Linked DNA regions of Rhinolophus ferrumequinum. The protein of the gene in region 2 purifies or fractionates together with the protein of the main gene of each other region. This does not show direct contact. Links are inferred from orthologs where the notes say so. Each region holds a gene or a part of one and is shown on either strand. Other genes may lie near its edges. The genes, in order: KIF23, RACGAP1 and FAM98A.

Region 1 (7,507 bases), on a different chromosome or scaffold from region 2:
TGCGCCCTCCACAACTAGATTGAAACAACTACTTGATGGGTCTTGGAAAAACACACTTAAAAAAAAATGTGTTTGATGATGTAAAATCCACATTCTCAGGACTTCACAAATGAAAAGATGCAGAATATGGAGGCGGGAGCGTTCCTTGGAATTTTATATTTCTAACAAAAGCCTAGGTAATTTTTCATATACGGGAGTTTAAGAAGTGCTGATGTAGTCCAACCTTTTTTTTAAATGTAATTTCAAACTTACAAAAATGTTGCCCCAAATAGTACAACGAATCCCCAGATACTTTTTACCCTTCCTCATTTCAATATTTATATACCTCTTCTCTAACAGGGAAAAACTTGGCTTCATTATCCACAATGTATTTACTTACTTGCTCAATCCTAGGGTGTACACAATGTTATTTCAAAATCACTAACCCCTGTCTGAAAAAAGCCTACTAATTAGAATTCAATATATGTTTCCGTTCTTTTTGTCTTGAGCTTGAGGGCACATAGTCTAAATAGTTTTAATTACTTGGGTTAGTTATAGCCTCCTTTCTATATCAGTATGTTATTCATTTGAAATAAGGTTCGGATCATTTGTTTCTTTTTGTATCAATTTTACAGTTCCCCCCGAAGCTTGTTGATTTTATTCATTTTTTAATATAAAACATTAACATCCAATCATTCGTTTTACAAAGAGCCTGGGAATGTGAGATGATGTTTCCAAGGCCACTGAGTGAACAGCAGGGCCAGGGAGAGGCCTCTCTCCCTGGGTGTTGAGTGTGTTGGGTGTCCCAGCTCCCACAGCAGTCCTGTCTCCATTTTACCACCTTCCCTCAAACATTCTGGGCTTTGGTAGGTTCTGGTCAATGGTGTTGATTTGGTTTCCATAGCTGGACTTGCTTAGTTAGGTGCTTGAATTAATAATGGTTTCAAATCTGTGTAGTGTTAGCTCCTTCTCAGTGATTTACATAAGACCTTCACAGTCCAGTTTGGCAGTTTCTTATAAAGCTAAACTTACACTTAGCACAACACCAGCAATCCCACCCAAGAGAAATGAAAACACATGTCTAAATAAAGGCCTTTATACAAATAATTATACCAGTTTCATTCATAATCGCCAAAAAGTGGAAACAACCTAAACTCTATGAACTAATGAATGGATAAATTGTCATGCAGTCAGTCATACAATAGAAAACTACTAAGCAATAAAAAAGGGAACACATTACTGGTTCATGCAACACATGGATAAATCTCAAAACTATTATGCTGAGTCAAATAAGAGACATTCTGGAAAAGACAAAACTCAAAGGAAGTCAGAAAAGTGGTTGCCAAGAGCTGGGAGTAGAGGACGGTGGTTGACTACAAAGGGGACAGCACACAAGAATTTTTGTGTGATGGGAATATTATGCATTTGATTGTGGCGGTGGTTACAGGATGGTGTGTGTTTGTCAAATACATAGACGGTACAACTAAATGGTTAATTTTACTCAATAAAATTATACCTCAATAAAGCTATTTTTTGTTGTTTTTTAAACAGGCCTCCCAGTTCTACTCTTTCTCTCTCCTATTCTTACCTCTAGTCTGGATCTCTACTTCTAATGGGAAAAGCAATCTTTTACTGGTTGTGGGGAGCCTTTGGGGTGGGGGAAGAGATTAGAATGTATTAGGTGTGAAGTGCCTGTGGGACAGCCAGAAAAACAATATAATGAATTGGCATTTTAAAGAAAATTAATAAGCCAGGGAGCTTAATATGCACAGAAATGAGGGAGAAAGAAGAAATGGGCCTGAACAAAAACTGGGGGTGTTGTGATGTAACTGGGTCCTTGACTGGGGTGTTCTCTAAAGGGATGGATTCATTCATTCCTTCTAAACATTTATATAGTACTTCCATTGTTGGGCACTGGGGATGCAATAGTGCCATCTAGTGAGGCTGTGGGCACAAGCTGGAGAGGACACTGCAAATTGAGATGTGAGCTTTACAGCAAATCAACAGGTGCAGTGACTGGGGGAGTGCAGGGGACTGTGGATATAGAGCAGGGGACCAGCATCCAGAGCAGGGTTGGTGGCAGAAGACCTGCTAAGAACTGAGGATAAGGAGGCATTGTCTGACGAGGGAGGGAGGAGAGCTTGACAGCAGAGGGAATGGTGTGTGAGTGTGAGCCCACTGTGTGCAGGGCACTGAAGGTCAATTTGGCTGGGGGAAAGGGGGGCTGCAGGAGTTAATGATAGGTGATGAGCTTGGAGAGGAAGAGACTTGGGACCTTGTGAGAGTTTCCAGCAATGGAAAGCTACTGCAGTGTTATAAGCAGGGGTGTGACATTATCAGATATGTGATTTAGAGGTGAGCTGGCTGCAAAATGGAGCCAGGATTGGAGGGTAGCAGCAGAGAGGCTTGTTATGATACTGTTGCAGTCATCCAGATGAGAAATAGTAGTGACCAAGGGGCTGGAGAGAAGTGGAGAGGTTTGAAGGCTATTAGTACTGTCAAGATTTGGTGATTGAATGTTGGAGTAGAAGGGGAGGCAAAAGTCAAACATGGTACCTTGGACTCTGGTTTGGGTGGCTGGGTAGATGGTGATGCCATCCACTGGCAGGGAGCAGGTTCAGGGGAAGAGATTAAGATGTGTTAGGTGTGAGGTGCCTGTGGGACACCCAAGTGGAGAATCCAGAAGGCAGTTGGATAATAAGGGTATGCAAGGGTCAATTAGATTTGGCATCAAGAAGGTGGTGATCTTGGTGAGAAGAGCTCCAATGGAGAGACTGAGGCCAAAGCCAGACTGAAGAGTCACTAAGAGTTAAGTATTAAGTAGCCAGCAGCCAAGCCCAATTCCTAAATGATACAGATCCCAACTACTTAACAAACAAATTTCTAATGGTTCAAAGACTTAAACATAAAAACAAAGGAATAAGAGCACTATAAAATATAAGATATTTTTAAAAATTATCTCAGAGTGGGGAAGACTTCTTAGTGTGATACAAAACGAAACATAAAAGACATAAATTTGGTTAAGCTGTCACAAAACAACATAAAGTAAAAACCAAATTATGAGCTATAAAAATATTTGAACTCATATTGGGTGAGGACCAATTTTCTTAATATATGAAGAGCTTTTATAAATCAATAAGAAAAATGAACAACTCAATAGAACAAGAAGGCAAAGGCATAGTTCATAGAGAAGGAAACAAATGGCTCTTTAATATATGAACAGACACCCAACTTCATTCATTATAAAAGATTATTTAAACCACATTGTGATTTTTTTTCACCTATTAGATCAACTTTGTTGTCTGAGAATTGTGGCGAAACAGGTACTCTCATACATGGCTGGTGGGATTTTGTATTCGGACAACCTGTATAGAGGACAATTTGGCAATATCTGTGAAGCATGAATGCATATACTCTGACTCAGCAATTATGCTTCTAGGAATTCATCATCCAGATTTACTTGCATTGTGCAAAATGATTAATTCCAAGCTTATTCACTGTAACTGTGTAATAGCAAATATTGGAACCATCTTTATGTCAAACTAAGGATATAAAAGTATGTCTAGGGCCGGCCCAGTGGGGGAAGGCTGCCGATTGGATTCCCACATGGGCCAGTGGGCTCTCAACCACAAGGCTGCTGGTTTGACTCCCACAAGGGATGGTGGGCTGCGCCCCCTGCAACTAGCAACGGGCAACTGGACCTGGAGCTGAACTGTGCCCTCCACAACTAAGATTGAAAGGACAACAACTTGACTTGGAAAAATATCCTGGAAGTACACACTTCCCCTGCCCCAATAAAATCTTTAAAATAAATAAATAAATAAAGTATGTCTATCCTTACTGGTGTCTATCCTTATTGGTGTCTGGTCCAGTAGGAAGTTGAGGAGCTGTGACTAGAGTTCCATGAGAGCACAGATGCAGATGCATTATTTGATAATCATCAATTTAGGGGCAAAGTTCAAAGAGAGACAGAATCAGTTCATCTTAGAAAAGAGGCGTCTGGTCAAGGCAAAGACCAAATTTTATTTGTCTCTGTATGCTCAGGATTAAACATTGCTAAGAATCTGATATAACAATGAAATCTACAGGCAAGAGCTGAAGAAACCAGAGAGGGAAAACCCGGGAAATGTGAAGAAGAGAGAGAGAAAGGAAGCCAAGATGATATGATTTGGAAGCCAGAGAGGGAGTCTGAGACTGAGCATCACACAGCACAAGAATAGGACACTCGTGGGCCAGAACGATAGTGTTGACTTATGAATCAATTCTGGACCTGGTACTCCATTGGACTTCTTGTGTTGTGGGAAAATTAACCCTCAATTTCCTCATCGGAAATGGAAAGCGTTGTATTTCATGTTGAAATCTGGGTTACAGCCCCGCAGCAAAGACACCCAGACTCTCCGCGCCTTTTCCGCGTCGGTCGCCTAGGAGACGAACGCCACTTCCGGCAGAATAGTCTCTTCTTCGGAGGCCCCGCCCCTCCCCCGGGCGTGCGCTGATTGGCCTGTTTGAAATGCGCCGGGCGCGAGCGCACCTGGTCTTGTCTCGGCACCGCAGTGTTTGAGCGCCGTCCCTCAGCTGCCGTGTGCCGGTCCCCACGGCTGCTCTCTGCGACCCGCAGTCCTCGCCAGCCCTCCTCATCTAGCCCGGCGTCCCGCGCGCGTGTCTGGGCAGCGCAGAGCCTGCTGCCATGAAGCCAGCGTGAGTACGGGGCGGCGGAGCCCCGGCCGGGCCTCGGTGCTGGGTGGGCGTCTCTTCAAGCCGCCCCCCGCAGGGGGCCGAGCAGTCTGCACGGAGCCCGGCGCTGCCCGGGCCGCAGCCCCCAAAGTGGGAGTCCGCACGTGGACCGCTCAGGGGGAGCCACGGCGCCGAGACCCAGCCGGGTCGATCCCGGACCCCGAGCCCGGCGCCTGCCGCTCTGCTCCGGGCTCTCGCGGCCTGGAGAGGTTGGCCCCAAGTCGGGGGAGGTTTCTGCCACCACGCCGGTTCCCGTTAGCTGGTTGCCATTCAGCTCGCTCGCCATTCAGCTGGCTCCCGGACGCCTCCGGCAACATTTTCTTAAGTTCTCCCTTTCGCTGTGGGCCGCCCGCGCTCCAGGTTGCGTTTTGCCGAGTTAGTGCGAGGTCGTGTCGCAGGTGGGGCGGAGTGTTGGGGTCTGGTATTGGGGTTCGTTAGGTGGTCTCAGGCCCTGGAGAGCCCTGGCAGTCGTGAGCATTGCGTGTTTTGTTAGCCCACTCCGTGGCCTGGAGGCCGAGACCATCCCATTGTATAGGCTGATTACTGTTGCCCTATTCTTTGACCGCCCACATTCCTTACTAAATCCAGTACATTTTCCGCGAAGCATAATTCCTTGACCGCTACTGCGTAAAGAAATAGTTTTGCACCGAAGAGGGTTGACTGTAATTATAATTATCTTGTAGCTACTCGTTTGCAAAAGGCTACTTGTTTTCTTAAGAGGCCACAGTCAAAATCTTTTTTTTTTAAAGTGTTGAATTGAAATAAACCTATCATAATATTTTGCACTTAAAACACCAGTTTGCTTCTGTTTCATGGGAAAATGTTGAGAAACTATTTTAATAATCTATGGTCCAAGCCAATAATTTAACTTAACTTTAGTGTTAAATGTTCATCCAGCCTATAGGTAAATTGGGGTCGGGGTGGGGAAGCATGCCAGAGAATTGGTGAAATAAATCACAACAATCTTCTTTTACTGTACCTACTGATAAAAAATAAAATTCAACTGAGTAAATTTTAAAAATCTTACTGCCTTTATTCGACAATTCATAAGTCGGGCAGCATCCCATTTAGCAATAGAAAGATCTGAGTTGCTGTACAAAAGGGGAGACTTTTATAGGCACAAGGGGGCAGGAACAAGCAAAGAGCCCATTGTTTCAGGCAAGGGCACCTTCCTTTGGTGACCACGGGGGTCTATGAGGTGGATTACCTCATTAGTGCTAACCAGGAAATTCCATACCGACTGACTGAGATTACATTGCTGGGAGAGACTGAAACTGCAATTAGATTATTATTAAACCTTGTTTTGGTGATGTGGGCTTAGACAGTGACTCCATTTGGGGCCTGTTCCCCCTTTTTTTTAACACTAAAGAGAGCAAGAAATTGCAGTTTAGGGACCACATTTTGTTTGGGGTAGGATGGTAGGTTTTGAGAATTCAATAACCAATTCCTTGAAAGTATAGATGTAAATCTTGATAAAAGAATGGGCTCATCCATCTGCATTCTTTATAATTTTATTGAAGTTAATCACTTGTCAGTCTACCTTGGCAATGGCTGTTGGTGCAGTGTGTACTTGTACACACGTAAATGTCTTTCAAGATAAGTGTAGTCAATTATCTGTAGATTTTTCAAACTTGTAGTACCTGTGTAAAATTGTTGCTCAAGAAAATATCCAAGCTATTTTAATATAGAATAAGTGGGTACCAGCCGGCCTGGTGGCTTAGGCAGTTGGAGCTCTGTGCTCCTAACGCCGAAGGCTGCCAGTTCATTCCTGCATGGGCCAGTGGGCTCTCAACCACGAGGTTGCCGGTTCAACTCCAGCAAGGGATGGTGGGCTGCGCCCCCTGCAATTAACAATGGCAACTGGACCTGGAGCTGAGCTGCGCCCTCCACAACTAAGATTGAAAGGACAACAACTTAACTTGGAAAAAGCCCTGGAAGTACACACTGTTCCCCAATAAAGTCCTGTCCCCCTTCCTTCGCCCCCCCAAAAAAATCTAAAAAGAGCAAATTTAGAGTAAGTGGGTACCATAAATGTCTCTTAAACCAAATTTCAATTACTTTTGGATTATGCATACCATAGACACTCTTATACTAATGAAATTTATTCTTATTCGTGTTAGTTATTTAGGGTTTAGTGTTTTGGAACTGCTAAGGAATAATTTTATAAAAGCCCAGGAAGTTTGTCTCTGTGTAAATTATAGGTGAAGTTTTTGTATGTTAGTGTTGAAGTGAAATTTTTTTTTTTTTTTTTTAAATCTATGTCTAGGAGGAGTAAGACGCCCAGGAAACTTGTAGTGAAAAAAGGATCCCAAACGAGTCTTAAAGATCCAGTTGGGGTAAGGTCTCCCTGTAAATTTATGTGTGTGTATTTTCTCTTCATTCCTTTTATGTCTTATGTGTACCCTTAGAAGGGATGGAGATGTGGAAGTGGAGTCAAAGAACATTTAGTTAAAAAGATTGTACTAAATTGCTTAAGGCTAGTTCGAGCTTTGAAATTTTGTTTCTATGTTGGATTCATTAGTCCAGTAAAATGAAGTTTTTGGTTGTTGATTGCATACTTCTTATAACTAATTATAATTTGAAAAGTGAGATAATGAAAAATCTTCAACTGTCCCAGAGAATTCTTCGTGCTCTCTGAGACAGGGGAAAGCTTTCTGCTTGGATGAGCGTCCTCTCCCATCTTTAGGACTATTCAGCCCTAACTGATGGCATCCTTCATGAGGAAAGCCCCAAACTCCATGCTTTTGGGGACCAAGTTTCATTAAGACTTTGATGTAGAACTGTTAATTCAGTC
Region 2 (7,589 bases):
GATTTGGAGATGGAGGCAAAATGTACCTCTATTTTATAACAGAAAACAATGGGAAGATATAAATTTGCTTATATAATAAGGGTATCTATAGAAATAAATATCTTGTATAGTTTTTGGCATAATTACTTCCAAAGTATCTTCACAACTAGTATCTCATTTTATCTACAAATCCTCACAGCACTCCCACAAAGAAAACAGACATTTAAATTTCTATGTTACAGCTAGAGAAACAAACAGAAATAACTGTTAAAAGCCAGCACAAGTTACTGAGGCTCCAAACCTCAGACTCTGCCCTCTGCCCCCACTCCTACCAGCTGCCTCCTCCTAGAGATCTTATTCTCACAATCTCGTCCACTCATTTCCCCTTACTTCCATTTTCACAACCACCATCCCACTTAGGATTCCTGTTGCCTCTTTCCTGAGCACCAACAACCATGTCCTGCTCAGTCTCCCAGCCTCCACCTTTCCTGCAACCTCCCCCTCTGCCAGCATAAGCTTCCAAAAGCACAGCTCTGATTAGGTCCCTCCCCCTTCCTCTTATTCTCCTCAAGCCCCTCACCCTTTGGCCTCCACTCAGGCTCTTCCCCGGACCCTAAATGTCCTCTTCATTTCTGTCTGTTGGGATCCTACCCTGTGTCTAAGACTCAATTCAAACCCTACTTTTCTCCATGATGCCATTTAGTCACCCCTTGCACTCCATTCCACCTGTGCTAGAGGCTGTGATAGGGTCTCACTAAATATTTGCTGAATGAACCTGAATTTTCAGATCTCTTGTTCAATACTCTTCCCCCACTAGACTGCAAAGTAATTCATCTTCTAAGATGATGTGACCTCAGAGAGAAGCCTAATTAGTATGCCATCATGGTTACTGAGCTGGTACCAGATGATAGGGTCATGCAACAGCTATTAGAGAGAGAAAATAGAATACTGTTTTGAAAGGCCTGTAAGTGGATAAGAGCTATTAAAAACATCAATCAAATTAAAGGAAATATTGAATGGCATAAGCAAGATGCCATACTAAGCACTATAGGAATTTTTTGTTTAAGACATAGTTCTTGCCTTATTTTTACATCAATGAGGCTGACTTAAGAACAACACTTACTAAATTAGGTGTTAATGAAAATCTTAAATAGGAGAGGATGGCAGCACAAAGAGAAGCTGGTAAAGAATAATTCCCGTTGGGGCAGCCGGTTAGCTCCGTTGGTTAGAGCATGGTGCTCTTAACAACAAGGTTGCCGGTTCGATCCCTGCATGGGCCACTGTGAGCTGCGCTCTCCACAACTACATTGAAACAACTACTTGACTTGGAGCTGATGGGTCCTGGAAAAACACACTTAAATAAATAAAAGTTTAAAAATAATAATAATAATCATTCCCATAGATTGCTTAAGTCAGTGCTACCAGCCCCACCTTCGTTTTTCACTAATCTGCTTTCCAGACGACTATTTTCTCACCATCTCCATTTCCCCCCAGCTCTCCACCCAATCTCAAGCCTTTATTACTAAACATCAAATATATGAACTAGGTAAAAGCAGATGAATAGTTTCTCCTTCGAAAGAAGTTATGACATTTTTTTCCTCTTCAACTGAAAATGTTCTATAGAACACAGAAAAGGCCCAGGATAAAAAATGTAGACAATTACTAAAGAAAAAAGCAACATCCCTGGAAATCCAGTAGATTTTGCCCAGTTCATGGTACAAAAATTGGCAACTAATGCAAACTGTTTAGTGAAAAAAGAAACTTAATAATGAAAAAAGTCTAACTAAAACCCAGTTAAGAACTAGAGAAGAAAGTGACTATTTAGAGTGAGTGTCCATTAAGCTTTGACCAGGGATAAGTGACCATCACATTCTTTGTAAGTAACCCACATAAAAAACAGTTTTAAGGTTGGAACACGCTTCAGCTGTATAGAAAACTCAACTCTGAAATACGTTTCCTCTCTTCACACAGGCCAACTCAGAATGACTTACGGAGTTCATTTCCTTCACTGAGAATCTCCACCCGGCGTACAAGCTGCTCAAACAGATTCCGCAAATTCAGCATCGCAGTATCCATCTTTCTGCCAAGAAATCAAATATACATTAGGGATCCTGCCTTCTCCCCCAGACAAAAGATTCAGCAGCAATCCAGTCCAGTCACCAGTGACTAACATCTGGACCTTCCATTTGTAGCTACCGTTATAAGAATCTCAAGCCAACAATTGATGTTTTGTGTAATCCTTATTGTAAAAATAACGTTGGAATGTTTAACACTCATTTGAAAATTAGAAAAGCATTTCCGACCTCTGAATATAACCCCTTTGCTGCCTACTTCTTTTCCTCCCTTCTACAATCACTATGGAGCTGAGAGAAAAGCAATTAGACATAAGCAGGTCAGTTGATTACTAAGTGACCAACTATAAAATGTGGTTCTTAGGCAAGTTTATTGATTAACAACACCTTCTGCCACTTGAATCCTTCTGGACTTTGAAGACCTTCAACATAACCTAAAAGGTTTATTTTTTTAATTTCATTTTTAGCTAGTACCCCTGTTGTATCTGTCTTTTAAAACGCAGGACATGGTCAGCACATTTCCTACCACCACCACAGATGACGTCACACAAGAGATGAAGTGGCGAAACCGCCAGCTCAGCAGCACAAGAATTATTTCTGTAGTGCACGGCTCTCCGCTGGGCTGCGTGCAGGGACTATGTCTAATACATTTACACTAAGTACAGGCAAAGGCTTATGTTGTGCCACATTCTGGCATCGAGGAGACAATACACCACCTTCACAGTTAGGAGGGCAAAGGAAAACTCATTTGCTACTGTGTTCAGTATAGTGAATTTCAGGCTTCATATTTCCCCCTCCAAAGACCTGCTGATATTACATTAAAAAATGGTATCCTTACTGGCAGTTCCGAATGGACATTAAATGGGAACACTTTGAGAAAATAAGACCTTCATTTAACAGTCAAGAAAGAAAGACATCAACTGGATGTTATAAAAACTATCAAGGAAATGAAATAAAACATCAAATTTCATTTAACAACTGAATGTCCTCAGAAATACCATTCAAGGATTCTTCTCAGGTTTCGCCTAATCACCCCTTCAACATTCTTGTCCAGGTTCTTATTTCATCTCTAAATAAGATTTGAAGAACTCTTTTATGAAGGTTTAGTGATTTTACAATGTTTGTAAGATTGTACCATATGCTGTGAGGGCAAGCAAGGAAAAAAAACTGCAAAGGACAAAGGAATATATAAACATAAAGATATTTTCTATTAAATGCTACAGAATTATTCATTTGTACTTGTATGATGATTGTTCTAACAGCAAAAAAGCTTTCAATTCCAACCTTGGATGCAATATATACCTGAATCAGGGCCGGAAACCAAGATTTTCAAATGGCAGTGTGTCTGTTCCAAGCTACATAATCACAACAAGCTGCTAAGCAACCAGACCAACAAATGTATTACAAAGATCTTCCTCTAAACTAAGAAGACAACTAAAATAATAGATTAAAACTGGCAGCAAGAGGGGCGGCTGGATAGCTCAGTTGGTTAGAGTGCTTGCTCTCAGCCCAGCAAGGGATGGTGGGCTGCACCCCCTGCAACTAAGATTGAACACGGCACCTTGAGCTGAGCTGCTGCTGAGCTCCCGGCGGCCGGATGGCTCGGTTGGTTAGGGCACGTGCTCTCAACAATAGGTTGCTGGTTCGACTCCCTCCAGGGGATGGTGGGCTGCCCCCCCCCGCCCCCCCACCACCCTCAACTAGATTGAAACCGGCAGCTGGACTTGGAGCTGAGCTGCGCCCTCGCAACTAAGATTGAAAGGACAACAACTTGACTTGGAGCTGATGGGTCCTGGGAAAAAACACACTGTTCCCCAATAAAGTCCTGGAAATACACACTGTTCCCCAATAAATTCCTGTTCCCCTTCCCCAATAAAATATTTTAAAAAACAAAACAAAACAACTGGCAGCAAGAGATCTGGATCTGGAAGTCATGGAGATGCCCGTGATTTAACAACATGACAAAACAGGCAAATATACTCAAATGCTATAGGGCAGACGCAGGAGCAGTGCATTCATAGCTTCTTCAAATGATGATTTCCTTGGGCTCCCAGTAAAAATGGAAGACACTTTTAATATGGGGTATTGATTTCTATCATCTCAGCATTCATCTATATTCTGAGATTCCAAGGCAATGAGCTCAGTACACAGGAAAACTTCTCTCTCCAAGAATGTGGAAAAGGAAAATTTCATAGTACAACTAAAAACTAGTTGTTTAAAAAAAAATTCAGAAAGTTTTTGTCTTCAATGACAATACAAGAACCTGATCCTTTGCCCCTTTAAAAGAAATCCTCCTATTTTCTCAAGTTCCTCTAGTCCATTATTCTTCTTTCCAACGTTTGGCGCATACTACTCCCTGGAGTCAGGGTTGGGGGAGGTCCTCTCTGGAAAACACAACCAGATTCTGAAAACTCTAAAGACACACTGAGAACCTATCTGGGAACATCTCCTCATATAACTGTTCTCTCACAGAACTGCCTTGATCTACACTGTTCCCCTGACCTGCCGCCTACGTAGCAGCTAGGAGATCGTTGTTTCACTGAACTCCCAGCGCTGTACTGTGAACAGCAGGGGTAGCCCTAACTGTCCAGACTGTCCGAGTCTCCAGATTTAGAGTTTCACAAATAATTTGATTATGGATTTTTCTGTTCTTCTCTCTCAACACCAGACATGCCGAAAGTTCAACCCTCCAACCGCCTGAAGAACAGGTCAAATGCCCCCACTTCAATCATCACATCTCTACAGACAAATCACCCATTTATCTCGCCAGCCCCAGCCTCGCGAATGCCAATCCTGGAGCTCTCAATTTGCATCCCCGAGATTTTGAGCTTGATTTTCAGACCCTGTTCTATCTTTCCCCCTCATATACGTAAGGTAAAAGTTACAGTCGGCTAGGTTAAGTTATTATTGAAGAAGGAAATGTATAAACGTAGCGCAGCCTAAGTGTGCAGTGTCATAAAGTCTGCAGCAGTGGACAGTCACGTCTTAGGCCTGCACTCACTCCCCACTCACTCTGACTCACCCAGAGAAACTTCCAGTCCTACAAGCTCCATTTATGGTAAGTGCCCTATACAGGTGTGCCATTTTTAATCTTTTACATGGTATTTTGACTGTATCATTACTATGTTTAGACATACAAATGCTAACCATCGTGGTACAGTTGCCTACAGTATTCAGTACTAACGTACTGTGCAGGCTTGTCGCCCAGGAGCAACAGGCCGTGTGACATAGACGAAACCCTGGTGTGTGTAAGTGCACTCACTTTATGATGTTCACACAATGACAGAATCATCCAACGCATTTCTCAAAATAACACCCTCTACAATGTATCCCGTCATGAAGCAATACGTACTGTCCAGCGTCAACTACCCTACCCACTGACCTTACCCTACTGACTCCCAATTTTGATTCCCTTATTTTTATCATTCTCCCGGTCACCCAGTTCCAAATCTCAGAATCACCTTAAGTCAGTCCCTTTCCCACAGATACAATCACCAAACCTTGGGGACTCTTCTCTCATGTGCTCTTACCAAACCCTTGTCACTGACAGGTCATCCTCTCACTTCAACTCATCTCCCCCCACCCCCCTTTGCTCAGTTGGCACTCAGACACACACTCCTTGCACTCTAACTTTACCATGTAAATGTGAGAGGGAAAACCTTACGTTTATTTGGCACTACTGTATTACACATACACACACTAAGTATTTAAAAATATTTTATAAAAGTCAGAGAACACACATACACACACACACACACCCATTCTACCTGAACATTAATGTGTGATACAGATACAAACAAAAAGAACAGTTAAGAAAAGGGGGGCAGGTGGGGACTAAAAGAAGTGCTGGGATAGTTTTAGTTCTTCTATTTACCAGTTGTATAACCTTTGGTAAGTCACTTAATTTCTGAGACTCATCTATAAATGGGAACAGTAATACTTGTCCTATTCACCTCACAGAATATTATCAATTAATGTAGTTTAAAAGTTTTATAATGTATAAATTGAACCTTACTATAAAATGTAGGGTATTATAGCATGTATGAAATTTTTGTTTTTGCTTTGGTCTGATAGTTATTTACACCCTAGAATAGGGATTACCAAATCATAGCTGGAACCCAGACCAAAAAGAATGGGGGAGACAGCAAAATTTGACCAGGTCTAGGTTCTTTAACAAGTTGTTCTACACGAGACTTGTAGCATCTGAGAAGAGTTACTTTTCTTTCTAACATAGGTTTATGTAAGGTAATCCGAAAAAGGCACCAGGAATCTTCTCTTTATATGTTGGGGGACCATCATGCATTTTTATTAATGTTCTATAGAACTGACGCTCAGGAATTATTTATAGATGACAAAAATAGCTCTCTGCATCAGTACTAACCATGATATCTCAGCCAAATTGTAACTCGAAATGTTAAAAGTTACTCACGCTATTCAATGTCAACTGAAAATGGTCTTAATTTTCCTGCTGGGTCACATTTTCACCTCATGAATACTTCTTTATTTCTCCCCCTTTATTATTTAGCTCCATAGCTAGGAGATACACTAATGTGAAAGGAAACAAAAACAAAGTCATATTGTAGTACATTGCTTTGGAGCTGTAAAACAGCTGTCACTTTTCACTAGAGAGGCAGCTGCCTTTCGGGAAAGCTGAAATGATCCCTGTGTGGAGCAAGGAAATCAGTTTGTGGAGCACTTGAAACAAAAAGGTGCTACAAAATCTCAGCTGTTATTGATGAGAAGCCCCAGAGGTGGAGAAGTCACTATGTTACAGATTCCCAATCTGTGAGTATCCCTAAGGGAGCAATTGTGCATCACCAGGAAAGAGTCTCACTCAGCTCGATGTGATTGCTTTGAGTCCCCAATTTAATTTCAATCACCCAGCCAAGAGACAGACATCATCCTTCAGAATAACAGACTACTACAGATCTTCACTGCAGAGTATCCTGGGGGAAGTCTCTATCTTCTTCCTCCCACTACAAACAACGTTATTAAGAGATGTATACATCATCTTTTTTAGATGTATCAAGGGTGTTAAATATTGTAAGACAAAGCAATGGAAGGTTGCTTGAGAGTTTTAATGAAAAACGTTCTCACAAACACTAAATGCAGAGATCCCCCAAGAAATCAACAATACAGGTTCTCTGCTGCTAAGGAAAACCATTCCCTAAGACAGTCCTAATACTATAGGATTCTTTTATGAAAGCATTTCCGAACAATTCTTCATCCCAAATGTCCAGCTTCTGTTTCACACATCAAAAGCCTCGATACAACTGGCAGGCAGAAGGAATATCTTGAAACCAAATGTTCTTATGAGCAATCCAATTGCAGAAAGAGTAAATAGACCATCCTCAGTCCAACATGAAGACTAAAATAAAGGATGAGTTGAATGATTATTTTTCAGAAAATTATTACCAGTTCAGTATACTAAGTTCTCCTTTTTTTTTTTTTTGACTTTCTGTGAATTCCTATTCTGAAGTGTTCCATTCTTCAACATCTAGTATAAGTCTTAACAATTCACCGAAGCATCCCCTACCC
Region 3 (7,518 bases), on a different chromosome or scaffold from region 2:
CAGCGCATAATTCACTGTTGCATACTTTTTCATTCCCTGTGAAGAATCACTTTATTCTTTCAGAAGAAAGCAAAATCTGGTCAAGAGAAAGGAAACATTTTCTTGTCAATCAACTAATCAACAATTTTATGCCTAGTGTGTATGCATCAATGTACTAAGCAATATGTAGGATGTGCAAGGTTTTATAGCAACTGAATAGAAAAGGTCAGAACCTATTAAGTCACATAAAAATATAACATTAATAAATGTTAGATTTTGAAGGACTAATTACGAAACCATCAGAGGCAGAGCCCAGGAATCTGAATTTAACTCCCCCACATGATTATGACAATCAAGTAGGCACTGCTATATTAGCAGTAGGAAAATTAATTTTAACCAGCACACTCAGGGAACACATTCTTGTGGAACGGTGAAACTGATCTAAGCCTTGAGGATGAGATAGAACGGAAGCAAAGCAGCAGAGAGAACAAAGGGTATCTGTGGACTGGCCTGGAACAGGAATGTTATCTGGGAAGAAGTGTTAAGGAAGCTTTGGGAGATAAAGGATGAGTGCCTCAGGCAGTCGGAGAAGGTTTCCCCCAAACTCAGTCTTAAAGATTGGGCAGGGGGAAACTGCCAGACAGAGAATGAAGGAAAGGGGATTCCAGGCTGAAAAAAACAACTTGTCCAAAAGTATACAGGCATAGAAGAGCAAGGTGTGTTAAGTGAATAGTAGAAGTTTCATGTGACTAGTGAAGATCAGAATATGCCATCCCAAATATGACACTTCGGCATATGGATTATTTAGAGCCGAAGGCAATTGAGAATCAATAGAAGTCTGGAGGACAAGCAGGAAAACAGAGAATCAACTTTGGCAAGTCTTCTCAGAGCTTCCATTATCTGACAAAAAGCAGAAACTTCTGATAATGAAGAAAGTTGGCTTCGAAAGGAGTCTGCACAGACAAACCTTATAAAAATAACCCTTGTCTTCCATTAGTTTCCCCATACATGTATCTTCCCACAATTTACCACCCCTAGATGCTTAAAACCCCTTTCATTGTTTAGTCACTTCTCCACAATTTATCACTCTTTGTTAAAATGGTTTATAAACTCTCAAGTCTTAACTACATCTTTGGGGTTTTCATGTCTTTTCTGTGAAACATTACAAAAGTCATAACATCAATAAAAATTTGTATGCTTTTTCTTCTGTTAATCTTTGTCAGTTTAACTCCCACAACTCTTAGACTGATATGAATGCTAGTTTATCACCTCTGGGCCAGAGTCTAGTAAACTCTTACTGCACCCAAATTAGACCAGTGTTTATCTGGTTCACTATGTGCCTGATTCACAGGTTGGCAGAACATGGCCCAGTAGGCTTAAGCTGGGCTGGACAAACAAATCAAGTTTGGAGCTTTTATTCTAGAAATATTTGTTTATATCTATATCTCTAATCATCTGTATATCTTTATCCATATCTATACCTCTTCCTCAAGTTAAACATAGGCAAGATACTGTTCTCAAATTTTGTAAATCTCTAAAAATTGCCTGGGTTCAGAAAATATACTAACATCACTAGAGGCGTGATCTAAAAAACAGCATTATTTAGTGATATAAGGGTATTTGAGACCCTTCAAGATTAATTCTACATACCAATATTTAGACAGAAAAAAAGGACTATTTTCAGCGAGCAAGCTGAAAAGACTTTATTTAGTAGCATATACAAATCTTATTTCATGCAACATGAGCAAATCTATGGTTTTTCTCATTTTCTCCTTGTTGGAGGGCCATTCTAAAGGCAAATTCATTAAAACTGGGAAATGCTGCTATTTTTCAGCCTCTTTTATCTGAGAAAGAAAAATTATTTTAGGTGCTTATTTAATCAAGATTTAGAAACCGTTCTATGACAAATGACAAACCTTATGTTCAAATATACACCTACTTCATTGCCGTTATAAAAATTACCCTTCTATACGTTTTATAAATAACTTTCTTAAGACTCTCAGCTGCATAAATTTAACTACATAATTCAAAATTTCTCTTATAATAACCTTTAAGGTTATGACATAAAAAGATGCTCGTCTGAAAATTGATATCAGTTTTCATTTCAATTTTCTCCTCTATATTTTTTCAGTAGTATAAACTATGACTTCACTTTACTCTTTTCAAGACCAGAAAAGGCTGGTCTTTAAGATCATTCATGATTTCGAGTTGAACATCTTCAACACAGAAAAAACTCATCTCTCAAAGATACCTGATGTACAGATGGCCAACAGACATATGAAAAGATGCTCAACATCACTAATCATCAGTGAAAGGCAAACAAAAACTACAATGAGCTATCACTTCACACCAGTTAGAATGGTTATCATCAACAAGACAATTAATAACAAGTGTTGGAGAGGCTGTGGATAAAAAGGAACCCTCCTACACTGTTGGTGGGAATGCAGATTGGTGCAGCTGCTATGGAAGGCAGTGTGGAGAGTCCTCAAAAAATTAAGAATAGAATTACCATATGACCCAGCAATCCCTCTCCTGGCTATATACCCAAAAACTCTGAAAACATTTATCCATAAAGATATATGTGCTCCGATGTTCATTGCAGCTTTATTTACAGTGGCCAAGACATGGAAACAACCAAAGTGTCCTTCGACAGATGATTGGATAAAGAAAATGTGGTATATATACACAATGGAATGCTATTCTGCCATAAGAAAAGGTGAAACAGTGCCATTTGCAATAACATGGATGGATATTTAGATTATTATGCTAAGTGAAATAAGTCAGACAGAAAAAATCGAGAACCATCTGATTTCACTGATATGTAAGATATAAAACTGAAAACAACAAAGGAACAAGACAAATAAAGAAACAAAACTCATAGACACAAACAATATTTTAGTGGTTACCAGAGGGAAAGGGAGGAGGGTGGTGGTAGATGAGGGTAAAAGCGATCAAATATATGGTGATGGAAGGAGAAATGATCGCCACTTGTTCACTAATAATAGTATATGTTACAACTTACACGGAAAAGTGAACCTTTGTTTTCTCAAATTGATTGTGAATTAAGCCTTACTTTTTATTTAGCACATTAGACAACCTTATGAGAACAAATGATTATTCCATTTTTATTATAAGGTAATTATGTACAACATATATAAGCTGAAACAAATTCAACTAGCTTGATCTTCCTATCTTTTCACGTCCTGCTTATAAAACCTTATTTGACTAGTCAAATGAGAAGGAATATTGATTCAGATATGCCTCAGTCTCAAAATACAGTCCGTACTGGTCTTACCATTTTCACAGATCATGAAGCCACTGAGCCTGTGTCCTAATCTGTAAAATGCGAGTAATACATACACAGCCCTATGATGATTGCATAAAACAATATGGATCACGGGAGTAATACCATGTCAAGCACACTTTGGCTACATTATAAATGTTAACTCCTTCCCCCACTCTAGATGATGCAAAATAAGGAAATAAAAAAAAAGGTATAGGGGGCATTTATCCATTCGACATGAAAATGTTTGAGAACCGCAAAATAAAATCTACTGGTACCAATGTGAAAACGAATTAAATGCCTACACAATACATTATGTCAATTTGTGTTAAATAGAATTCTCTAAATATGTCCTCACTTAGAAAACATTTTTTTTCATTTTTAATAACTTCTAAGCATATACCCAACCAACAACTGCCAAGAAATCATAACCCCTCGTGAACTGAACGTCACACCCAACCAAATAATGTCAAAAGCAATTGCATTACAAATTAAAAGTTTATTCACTATTAAATATATTCTATTTAATACAGAGTGAAGCCCTCCTCTGTCGGCCCTCCTCCCTCTCCTCCCCCCAAAATAAGATGCTTAGTCTGGGAAGGGCTTAAGAAGAATGCAAAGGGGCGAACGCAACAACTTCCCCAATGCGTCCAAGTCAAAAGAAAGTTGACTCCTCCCTCATCCTGAAATACAGCCACTGCAGCCACAAGGATACCAAAAGGCATGTTATCTGCCCGTCTCAGCACTTGGTCGGTCTACCCGTCCTAAGGAATTAAACCGGAGCTCATGAATTTTCCGTCTCTTCAGGACCCACAGCTAAGGCTAGACTACGCTGGCAGGCTGCAGACAGCCACTCGGGCTACTCCTTGGGACGCAGAGACTGTTTCACAGCCAACACCCACCCATATCTAGAGACCCCCAAGCTCCTACCCCGCCCTCCTCTCCCCAAGATTCGCACATGCGTACACCCAATTTAGAGAGAGGTTAGAACTTTCCTCCCTCTCCTGGTCCCCACGCCCTGCTGCCACGCAGCCAGTCCTCCTGCCCTTCTTTGGGCAGCCGGCGTCACTATTCAGTAATACGCATGTGCAGCATTGTGCCACCCGGTAATCTTTCCTCCCGCAGGGGTGGGGAAGCAGGCGGGACTAAGTTTGTTGCGCACGCTCGGGACATGCGCAGTGCGGGCACTGAGGCGCCAGCTGTCGATTTGGAAGTTCCGGGGAGGCAGCGCATGCGTGAGTGTACGCGTTGCCGGCGAAGAGGGGAGCCTGACGACTCGGAAATTTGAATACCACAGTAGCATGGAGTGTGACCTCATGGAGACTGACATCTTGGAGTCGTTGGAAGATCTCGGGTAAGACTGCCAGGGCATGGGGTCTCCCAAAACCCCCAGTGCCGGTCCCCGGGGAACACCTCCTGCGCCCTAGTCGGAGACACCTGTCTCTCCACACCGCACCCCGTGGCTCCTGGCTTTCGCCCCCTGCGGCTCCGGGACCCCAGTGCCACGTCCACTCTCTGCCCTACCGGGTCGGAGCCCTACACATGCGACGCCCCTAGGCCTTTTCTGTGCTCCCTGCAGCCGAGTTCCCCGCAGCGTTTGTCAGTCATGCGTGTCATTGTCTGGGCTCTGGTGTTCGCCACCCCCCTCCCTGAGCTTCTCTCCTTGCTTGCTCCCCATCCTCCTGCCCTATGTCCTCACCCTAGAGGTTGCCAAAGTTGATTCTGTGTTTTCCTGCTTGTCCTCCAAACTTTCTACTCCTGTCTTGAGCCCCTACTCCTACCTCACCCCACTTCTTTCAAAAAAATCTCCTTTGCCCAGTCATCTCTGCATGCACCCAGCCACATGTCTGTGCAGCTGCATCCGTCCCGCCAGCCAGCTCACTCGTGCTCCGAACCTGTCACGTCCATGGGAACCACTGGCAGTTTCCCTTGACTGGGACTCTCTGCTTCTCTGAGCCGTTATTGTTAGTAGCCCTTACCCTTAGGGTCATCTTCACCCCCAAGTCCCTGCATATTTGTTGTGCATTTTGTCTCTCCTCCTGACAGTTATGGTTGGATAATCACAATTCATACCTAGAAGCTGAAAATAGGGCTTCTTATTGCATTGGGTCACCCAGATCAGTGTACTCGATTAAAACTTGAAAACTTAAGAACCTCTTGGGCTAAACGTGCTTCCAGAAACAAAGTGTATGATTAAATATTTGTCTATAGGTATGGGTCAAAAAATGACAGACTTAGCTGGCTGTCATTATAAAATAACATGTCCTTTATCAAAACCTTTCCCTCGGCTTTTGTATAACATGGAAACGTTTGAGGGAAACCTTTAGGAAAGGACACTGGGAGGGTTCCCAAAGTCTGGCCCGGTAGAAGTTTTTAGATGAGAGTACTCATCACCCTTCTTTGTCAAAGTGAATTACCGTTGTTCTTTTGTCGGCACTTGCTCTGAATTTTCATGAATATTCCAGACTTTAAGGGACTTATTTCTTCCATTAGAGCGTAAGTAAAAGTCACATTCAGCAAAGTGGCCTCTTTTGGTGGACATCTCCGACTAAATACTTGCTCACACATGAATCTATTCATTCAGTAAATATTTTTGAGGAATGCTTGTTCTGCGGCAGTGTTGGGCTGAGCATTTATGAATACAAAGTGAGGTGAAAGAGAGGTTCACACCATGGGACAATTTGGGGAGAGCCCCTTTACTGCAATAGGAAGTCCTAGAAGCTTCTTAGAAGTGATACTTGAGTGTTGAAAGAGCAGTAGGATGAGAGGACAAGGTAGACCTTATTTAAATGCAGTTGTTCTGCGTAGATAGAGGTCACCTAACAATTGGTGATGGATACTGTTTCTTCCCTGTAGAATAAACTAACAAAATCTAAATATGTAACACGAGAAATTTCTAGGCCTACTCTCTGCATCCCAGTGTCTAATAATGTGCGGTTTTGAATTTAGATGCCAAGAGTATATATAATCTAATTTTTGTGCAACACTTTCCACTCCATTCAATGTGTAAACATGTAATTGTATTTTAAAAGGATTGAGTATTGTCATTTCTCTAACAACTCTGTACCTCAAAACATTGAATTATCTAAAGCACGTTTCATATATCATCTTTAATAGCTGTTTATTAGTATTTCATTTAAAAGAAGATAATTTTCTGGAGAATATATATTTTAAAATTACTTTGAAAATGACGAAATCTTTAATTCTAGCCATATTCTAGATTGGGGTTCATTATTACTATTGTCTTTTATGATTGTTTGAATGTTTAATAATTTTTTAGAATTACATTTGAATTACTTACAAAAGATTCGGATTCATTTGTACCAGTTCACCCTAACATCAACTCGCCAGAAATTATTAAATCAATCTTGACATTTCTCTGGTACTAGTATATCTTACTAGTCTTAACTCATTAAATATAGAAAAAATAAATAAATGATTAATTTGAAAATTTTTGTTTTTAAAGAAGGTTATTAAAAACCTAATTTATTTTTGGAAAAACATCTAGAAAAGATAACCTAAATTTTTTTTTATTTCTGAAATAATAAACTATAGTATAACTAGCTATCACTTATTAAATCTGGTTTTAATACTCAGTTCAGTTAAAGTAAGAAAATAAAACTTTGTACATAAGAGTTGTCAGTAAATGTATAGAAGTTGATATAATTTAGTATATTTGATTCTATTAAACATTCACATATCTTTTGAAGGGTTGAAATACAGTTACCACTTACCTTGTTTTTCTAATGGTTTAGTGTAGTTCTAAATTTTATTTGTATTTACAAGTTTAGAAATTGGTCATCACAACTTATTGTTATTAAACTATTGCTTACTTATACAAATAATACATAGATATATTGTGTCTAATATATTAGGTGTGATTTTATGTTTTTCTGAACTGTGATTTCTTAACTCACCAGTTACAAGGGTCCATTGTTAGAAGATGGCGCTCTGTCTCAGGCAGTCTCTGCTGGAGCCAGTTCCCCTGAGTTTACCAAACTCTGTGCTTGGCTGGTGTCTGAATTAAGAGTGCTCTGTAAACTGGAGGAAAATGTGCAAGCAACTAACAGTAAGTAAACATTCAGTTTTAGATGCAAAATATACAAATAAAATTGAGGCATTATCAGTTGAACATTTATCAGTACTAAAGCTAAAATTTCAAATTCTATCTAAATATAAAAAAAAAAATTGTAAGAAACCAAATACTTTTTTTGTCTCCATTGTTTTTAGAGAAAGGTGATTCGGAAGTTGAAAAA

What was found.
Region 1: the proteins of RACGAP1 (region 2) and KIF23 purify together in Homo sapiens (co-immunoprecipitation; 10 studies listed by BioGRID and IntAct, counting the BioPlex papers as one, with this or other methods). This does not show direct contact. The link is inferred for Rhinolophus ferrumequinum from reciprocal best matches to the Homo sapiens genes RACGAP1 and KIF23.
Region 3: the proteins of RACGAP1 (region 2) and FAM98A purify together in Homo sapiens (co-immunoprecipitation; 3 studies listed by BioGRID and IntAct, with this or other methods). This does not show direct contact. The link is inferred for Rhinolophus ferrumequinum from reciprocal best matches to the Homo sapiens genes RACGAP1 and FAM98A.

What each region holds. Positions count from the first base shown.
Region 1 is NC_046289.1:42,207,173-42,214,679, reverse strand, and holds the start of KIF23 (kinesin-like protein KIF23), read left to right. Parts: upstream 1-4,500; 5' UTR 4,501-4,666; coding exon 4,667-4,677; intron 4,678-6,979; coding exon 6,980-7,049; intron 7,050-7,507.
Region 2 is NC_046293.1:50,834,181-50,841,769, forward strand, and holds the start of RACGAP1 (rac GTPase-activating protein 1), read right to left. Parts: upstream 3,068-7,589; 5' UTR 3,053-3,067; coding exon 3,050-3,052; intron 2,060-3,049; exon of another isoform or gene 2,056-2,059; coding exon 1,971-2,055; intron 1-1,970.
Region 3 is NC_046296.1:48,577,095-48,584,612, forward strand, and holds the start of FAM98A (protein FAM98A), read left to right. Parts: upstream 1-4,453; 5' UTR 4,454-4,563; coding exon 4,564-4,616; intron 4,617-7,182; coding exon 7,183-7,331; intron 7,332-7,518. UniProt on the Homo sapiens protein: Positively stimulates PRMT1-induced protein arginine methylation. Involved in skeletal homeostasis. Positively regulates lysosome peripheral distribution and ruffled border formation in osteoclasts.